Drosophila melanogaster: one gene and its partner. The protein of the gene in region 1 purifies or fractionates together with the protein of each later gene. This does not show direct contact. Each region holds a gene or a part of one and is shown on either strand. Other genes may lie near its edges. The genes, in order: Arp10 and DCTN4-p62.

Region 1 (3,926 bases):
GCAGCATGAAGGCTGTCAACATCGCAGCGCCCGTGATGCGTTTCCTGGCCGCCGAGAAACTAATGGACGAGAACAAGGCCGTCACGGCCTTTACCGCCGTCCTGCAGGGCATGCAGGTGCACGGTCAGCACGAGGCCAACCAATCGGGCCTGGTGACGCTGGGCGTGCAGTTCTACGAGCTGCTCCGTCCGCAGTTCCCCATTCTCAGCGAAGTGCTGCAGCATATCCCCAGCGTGAATGCGGCCGACATTCAAAAGTTCGACGAAAAGATTGCCGTGGCGCCCGTCAAGGGCAACAAAGTGGATCGCGCCAAGAAGGACATCTTCAAAAAGCTGACCGCCCAGCTGGTCGGACGCAGCGTGAACCAGTTGTTCCGGCACGAGGTGCAGATAGCCAATCTGCCGCCCATGCAGTCGCACAAGGCCAAGGGATCCATGGGCACCACGGCTGACATCATGGATAGCAATCAGAACGCGAGTCTGGCCAGGCTCTTTGGGCCGGAGAAGTGACACGGAGCGCAGCGGAAGCAGAAAACGAGATACACAAACGAACAGGAACAGGATAGGAGAAGCAGGAGGAGGCGTCGCAGCGGAGGCGGCGCCACCAGTGACACCACCTCTGTCCTGGTCGAGGACCGGGATCAGGAGCATGTCGAGACCACGGCCACCTCAGCTGCCAAACTAGCGACGACTGAACTGAATGTAACTGTAAATTAGCTTAGACGATGAGTTCGCACTTTTTCTCGCCCTTGTCCAAGACCATGACCCAGTCCGTGTCCCAGTCCCAGTCCCAGTTCCCAATCAGATCTTACAGTTATTAATTTATTTATTTTAACAACTAAATTTTAAGCGTACCCGCAATGAAGCAATTTTTTATTGAATTTGTCTCATGCGGGCATCGCAACCGCTTCGATCCGAACCGTTTCCCCCCCAGTTTCTGGAGGAAAATGGTGACTCGTGACTTGTTACTGCTTTGTTATTTATTATTCGAAATTTGTTAAACTTGTTTGCTCAAAGGAACTACTAGAATCGCTAGTTAGCAATACTCCGGCCCACAACCGTCAATCCGCAATCCTTAGCCCTCGTCCTATGGCCCCAGGTCCCAGGTGCTTCGCAGAGACGCCAGAAGACCATTTTATACATAGTTAATTAATTAATTATTTAATGAATTGTGCTTTCCTCGTTTTGTATAGTTACCTATGCGCAGGCATAATGTAATTTATATAATTGTACACATTTATCATTTGAAGGAATATTTCTGAAATTACGCTTAGGTTTAGTTGATAGGCAAAAGTTATTATTATATAATACATCAAATTGTATATGATCACACATCCCGCACCGCGAATGCATCATGCATTATGCAGTATAATAATTATAGCCCAAAAACACACCAGGATACTAAGAAAACATAATGAAATCGAAGCGGTCGACCGTGCAAAAACACAAATCGAAATAAGATAAAGCAGATAAATTTGAAATAAATTTAAAAATTCAAAGTGGAACCGACTTGTTTTAGTAATACGCAATATAATAATTTCAAACAGGACGATATCCATGCAAGAAAACATCACTGTGGACGGCAGTTAATGTAGTGACGAAGCGCGCCCGGAGACTTTGCGATTATATTGAACAAAAGTTGTTCTTAAGATATATGAATTTAATTTCACAAGAATCATTATAATTATTAGCTTCAAACTCGCGAAATTAACTTCTTAAATTCGATAAAGTAGTTTTGTAAACTTACTGAAAAGCATACATATGTATGTACACTGCAATAAACTAAAGTAAAGTTGATTCTATTTGTACGTAAGAGTTAGACCTCTTAAAAGCAGAATAATCGACTGACACCAAATGATTCCGAGCTACTTTCAAAATTTTATCTTGTTGGGTTTTAAAAGCCATAAAATACCAAAATACCAAATTGAATGTATTTCAAACCAATAGGCAAAGTTTTAAAGTTACCCAGAAATTTGAAAAGCGTGCCAGTAAAACGGATGCCATTAGTGGAAACAGGGTGTTTGCTCGCTACATCGTCAATCGATGATTTCCGCACACCGATAACTTCTTGTTTTGGCCAAAAATTAAGCGAACTGAACAATATACCATTCCATGGTCTAGTCGGTTCGTCCAGCAAAGGAGCAAGCAGCCAGCAGACAGCAGCCAAGATGCCCATTTACGAGAGCGTGATGCAGGAGAAGCCGCCCATTGTCCTCGACATTGGCACCGCCTACACCAAGTAAGCAAACGCAAATAATTCGGCGAAAGTGGTATGAAGTCATCACTGCACCCTTTTCAGGCTGGGATTCGCAGCGGAGGCGTATCCGCGCAAGATCATGCCCACGGAGGTGGTGATGACCACGACGGGGATCCGGAAGCGTCTGTTCGACTACGACACTCCGGAGGAGCTGTACGACCAGCTAGTGGATTTTCTGCAGACGATCTTCTTCAAGTAGGTGACTCGGTGGCTTTGGTTTCTATTGCAATGTAATTTCCTTCTAGGCATCTACTGGTCAGCCCCAAGGAGCGCAAGTTCGTGCTGGTGGAGAACGTGTTCGGATCCACTGTGCTGCGTGAAACCTTGGCCCGCGTGCTCTTTGTCCACTTCGACGTCTCCTCCGTGCTGTTCGTGCCCGTGCATCTCATTGCGCTGTCTACGCTGGCAGTGCCCACTGCCCTTGTGGTGGACGTTGGCTACAGCGAGACCAGCGTTATGCCCGTCTTCAGCGGGGTGCAAATCATGGCCGCCTTCAAGGATCAGAGCTACGGAGGCAGCGCCATCCACGCGGAGATCAAGCGGCAGCTGGTTGAGAGTGGCGTTAAGGAGAGCCTGCTAACAGAAAGCGTGCTGGAGGACATCAAGGTGCGAACCTGCTTTGTGACCACCATGGAAAGAGCCAAGGCCCGCGCCAACGGCGACGAGAATCAGCCGACTCCCGCGCCAGACGTGGACTACATTGTCAGCGACAACGATGCGGTCATCCAGGTGCCCGGCCTCCTGCGGGAGTCTGCCTACGAGATCATGTTCGAGGCCAGCAACGAGCGGGACAGCCTGCCGCATCTCATCCTGCGCTCCATTCTCGACTGCACACTAGACGTGCGACGTGCCCTGGTCGAGAGTGTGTTCCTCGTGGGCGGCGGCTCAATGGTCCAGGGTCTGCTGGCCCGCCTCCGCCAGGAGCTGCAGCATCTGCTCACCGAGGATCCGTTCTACGCCGAACGCTTCCATGGCGAGCTGCAGTTCAAGTTTTTCAATGCTGTCGGCAAGCAAAACTTTACTGCCTGGCTGGGCGGCGCCTTGTGCGGCGCGACGGATCTCATCCAGACACGATCGCTGGTCAAGGAGACGTATCTAAAGAGCGAGCACGTTCCCGACTGGAGCAACCTGTGCGATAATAGGCCGACAGGCTCGTAGACTCGAGGGCAGTCCCGGAAGATGGAAATATGTACGCTTCGGCGCTTTACTGGTTACGCGTACTAACATACTCTTGATTATTATTCTGTAATATATAGGTATTAAATATTTACGAAATATAGGCTAACGAGCTTTAAACAAAATATTGCTTGTACGTTTTCTGGACATTTATTCTTGGTTCTAATGATGATGTCGGTTTATCAGCTTCATTTACAACTTTACTTTCTTCAAGCAATGTAACGTTGCGTCTCTCAGAGTTAAAAGAATCTCATTTGTACACGGAAAATCAATTTAACATTTATTAGCGGGGATGCGCACCCCAAACAAATGCTATGAAGACGGGTGATTCCTTTTTACATTTGAATCTTATTAACTAACTTGTTCATGAATGGAATATCGAAACATTACAATACGTTTTCGTACGTTTGTGTAGAATTTTGTTAGAAAGGCATTCGCTGAATGCACATGGTCCATACATATAATGCATGTTAACTAAACGAAAAAAAAAGACG
Region 2 (3,926 bases), on another chromosome or scaffold:
CTTAAGAAGCTGAGTCCGGGCTACTACTACGTGGACGATGGGTACATCGCCCCGGTGGCCTCCAGCGCCGGCTACACCCGCCGCGAGGGCGTCTCCGCCTCCGACAGTGGCTCCTTGCCCCACAATGTCAAGTTTACTCCCATCGTGCGCGTCCGGCAGACCAAGACCAAGCGCAAGAAGCTCTTCGTGCCCAACTTCTTTGGCTAGAGGGGCTTCCCCTGCTCTCCTCCTGCCGGGACTGAGACTACAGACTGAGGATGATAGCATAGGCTTAGCATTAGCATTAGTCGCGTGGCTCCCACACCAAAAAGTACCTTATACCTATACGTTATCTATTTTATACGCGGTCACATGTCTGACCACATTATATTTATATACGCAAAGCTACTAAATAAAAATATCCAAAATATTGAAAACATATATCAACTTTAAAAACGAATGAGAGTCCTGATTTCAAAATTCATTTTATTAAAAGCAAACATACCGACTTTATAACGAAGTATAAAGTTTTATTATAAAGTTTTTTATGGAATTTCACAATAACCTCGATAAATCCAAAATATATTTAAAATTTTAGCATCTTGTAAACGCTTTCGCTGGTAACGCCCCCACTTTTGAATGAAAAGCGCCGTAAAGAATTTTATGAACCGTAAAGTGTGTAGATATTTAGTTTGGCGATTTGGTGCTAATTGACCACTTAGGTGATTTAATGAACTCAGAATAGCATTGTTGCTACTTATATGACGTACAATAAACTTTTCCCGATGATGTGATCGTTCAAAATAAAATATTCGTAAAGCAAAAACATATTTGCTCTCCTTGGGAATCCTAATACATACTCGAAAGTCCATGAATTCATATTCCTTTTTTATTTAGCACATATAAAATAAAGCCTAAAGCCTAAAACACTTCTTCATCAATTATAAAATTAATCTAGACAAAAAGTATATATTTTGCTGTACCTAAGTGCTGTACTAAACAAACCCGTAAGAATGTGGTTATATTGTTTTCAATAAGAAGTTTGCAACGCAGTCAAGAAGACATTTGTGACTATGTGAAGGACATATATTCTTGATAGCCATGTCCTTCAGTCATTACTTTCGTTTCTACACAAGAACTGTTCGTAGAAGTGTTTCCATTGCAGGTACAATTTAATTTGAATTAAAGAGCAAAAATACATATGTGAATCTCTTCGTTGATTATGATAAAAAAATATTTTTGTTTGGTATACATTAGTTTTTTGACAATATATAATTTCAGTTTTAACTTGATTTTTTTATGAGAAATTCTTCTTATTATTAGTATTCTTCTATAAGATTCGGTAAGCTTTTCTTTCTGTCGTATAGATCTATATTTATGAGGGTGGACAATGCTTACCATTCCGAACATTGACACAATTTCAAATAGAAGATAATCTAATAATAAACACAAATATTTATATTAATTACTTCGAAATACCGTGATGCATACTCCATAGATCAGATATTTTTTAAAATTGTTCTACTTTTATGTATTATGGATTAGTAATTTTTAAAAAATGAGCGGGATAAACAGAGTACCTTGGACGATCCACTTCTGGTTAGTGGGTAATGTACTTTATAACCATTCACTCTAGGATATAAAAAGTACTAATCAATTTCATAAATTCATAACCGCCAATTCACCAGTGCTGCCCAGCATTGGTACGCCCATAGATGACTACATATAATCGAGTCATCGACTTATCGATATAACAGCTGTCGTCATTACTGCAAGAAGAGGACAAATTTGCAAATTTACTAAGAAACCAGGAGAAAACTAGCGTCGTCAAGATGAGCTTCATGCAACCGAGTCCCGTTAAGTACGCGTGCTCCTGCGGCATACTGAACCCGATCAACACGCTGTTCTTCTGCCGCCACTGCCCCAAGCTGCGCTGTGGCTTCTGCGTGACGCATGAGATCGAGTCGCACTTCTGCTCCAACTGCCTGGAAAACATTCCCTCCACAGAGGCGCGCCACAAGAAGAACTGTTGTGCGAACTGCTTCGACTGTCCTTGCTGCCAGCACACCCTTTCCGCCAGAGCATCTACCGTTCCGGTGGTGCGCAAGTCGGAGGAGGCGAAGGAACCAAAGGATGGCGACTCCAAGGGCGAAGCCACGCCCCCAGTCCCGGCGAGCAGCAAGCCCTCTGCGGTGCCCACCACAAAAAAGATGTACTATTTGTCGTGCTTGTCCTGCCGATGGACCACGCGAGATGTGGGCATTCCCGACCAAGGCGTGGCCACGGGCACCTGGCCGGATAACGAGTGCTTGTACCAGGCGCGATTTAATGCTCTGGTCGAGTACTTCCAGGCGGTGGTGCTGCAGGAGAAGCAGGAGAAACTGGAGTTCATGCGGCGCAAGGCACCCAAGCAGCACAAGTTTCCCAGTCTGACGGATCGCACTGGACTAACCGTCTCACTTATTCGCCGCCAAATCGGCTGGAACGACAAGGCTCCCAAGGCTAAAGCCGTGATAACGCCGGCAGAGGCCACGGCGGAGGTGGAGGGCCTGCCGGAGAACATTTTCACGGAACCCTTGAACTTGCGGAATGTGACAACCATCACCCAGCGACATAGCCAGCCGGCGGACCAGCCCACGGCCGTTGGGAGTCTTTATCCTCAGCGCAGGTCCCTGTGGATTAAGCGGTCGCTTCGTTGCCGCCAGTGCGAGCACAATCTAATCAAACCGGAGTACCATCCCACATCGATAAAGTACCGCATTCAGCACTTCGCCAGCTACCATGTTCCTGAAGTGGTGATGGTGCGCTGCGAGCAGCCACTGGTGGCAGGAAAAAGCAACGCCATTTTGCTGAAGCTCACGAATCCGACTATATACGATATGACAATTCGACTGTTGACTGCATCTCCTCCTGAGGATCCACAGCTGTCAACAGAGGCCACTCGTGTTGCGAAAGAGGAACCCATTTCTTCGTCCCCACTTCTAAAAGCAGTGGGCATCACACTGTCGCGTCAAAACTCAACACGGGAGGTAAAACGAGATGTGATTGATATATCCAATGCCGAAATAGTTCCGTTGGAGAGCGAGTTCGTTCTGAACCAGCGCGATGACTCGAAAGAGTTCGACGAGGACGTGCAACTGTCCACCGAGGAGCCCAAGTTTATTGTCTGGCGGAAGGGCAACAAGGTGCTTTTGCGGCTACAGTTTACCCCAGCAGAGGAGCTGTCCGGATTAGCAGACGTCGTTCTGGGCTTCTATATGCAGTACACATACGTCAACACCGTAAACAATGCGCAAGAGAAGAGGGAACCCACAACCCATGTGCTCCACTCCAGGGTGTTTATCACGGCGGGAGCAACTGAGCAGAAAGCCAACTAAACTGGAAACTTATTAGCCAACAGGCGTACTAATCGACTTATGCGAAATATGAAATATGCTTTATGAAAGCTAGAGAAATATGTATTTATTTATTAATCCGTTCGTGAAACAGCAGCTAGTATTCAAGTATAATAAAAGGCTTGTTCTAACACTATTCGTTCTTCTTTAGTTATTAGCTTCCAGCTTATCTAATCCGGTCCACTTCTCGCTCTCGGCCCACAGGAACTTGGCAACCTTATCGTCCAAGGCACCAGAAGCCACAGGCTTTGGTTTGCAGTCACTGAAGTACAGGCCAGAGATGTTCTTAAGCTCCGGATCCAAAGCAGCGTAAATCGAGGTCTGAGCTCCACTCTTCGGTGTCTTTAAAAGCGGCCAAATCATTGGCTTTAAAAAGAACCTAGGAAGGTTAACAGGTATTACTGGGAAGGTCCTAATTCACTTATTCATCACTTACTTCACAAGGTTTGTCTGGAAGAAGGCCCAGTTCCGCGCCAGCTCAGTGTCCACCACACCAGGGTGAAGGGCATTTACTGTGACTCCGCTGCCCTCCAAACGCTTGGCCAATTCCCG

The links.
Region 2: the proteins of Arp10 (region 1) and DCTN4-p62 purify together in Drosophila melanogaster (affinity purification with mass spectrometry, with the first as the bait; one large-scale study listed by BioGRID). This does not show direct contact.

What each region holds. Positions count from the first base shown.
Region 1 is NC_004354.4:19,644,158-19,648,083, reverse strand, and holds Arp10 (Actin-related protein 10), read left to right. Parts: upstream 1-1,907; 5' UTR 1,908-2,167; coding exon 2,168-2,238; intron 2,239-2,298; coding exon 2,299-2,451; intron 2,452-2,501; coding exon 2,502-3,414; 3' UTR 3,415-3,553; downstream 3,554-3,926. Other genes in the region: Ranbp21, read left to right, coding at 1-509.
Region 2 is NT_033778.4:7,666,831-7,670,756, reverse strand, and holds DCTN4-p62 (dynactin 4, p62 subunit), read left to right. Parts: upstream 1-1,727; 5' UTR 1,728-1,811; coding exon 1,812-3,356; 3' UTR 3,357-3,509; downstream 3,510-3,926. Other genes in the region: CG12826 (uncharacterized protein), read left to right, coding at 1-207; Rdh1 (retinol dehydrogenase 1), read right to left, coding at 3,522-3,753, 3,811-3,926.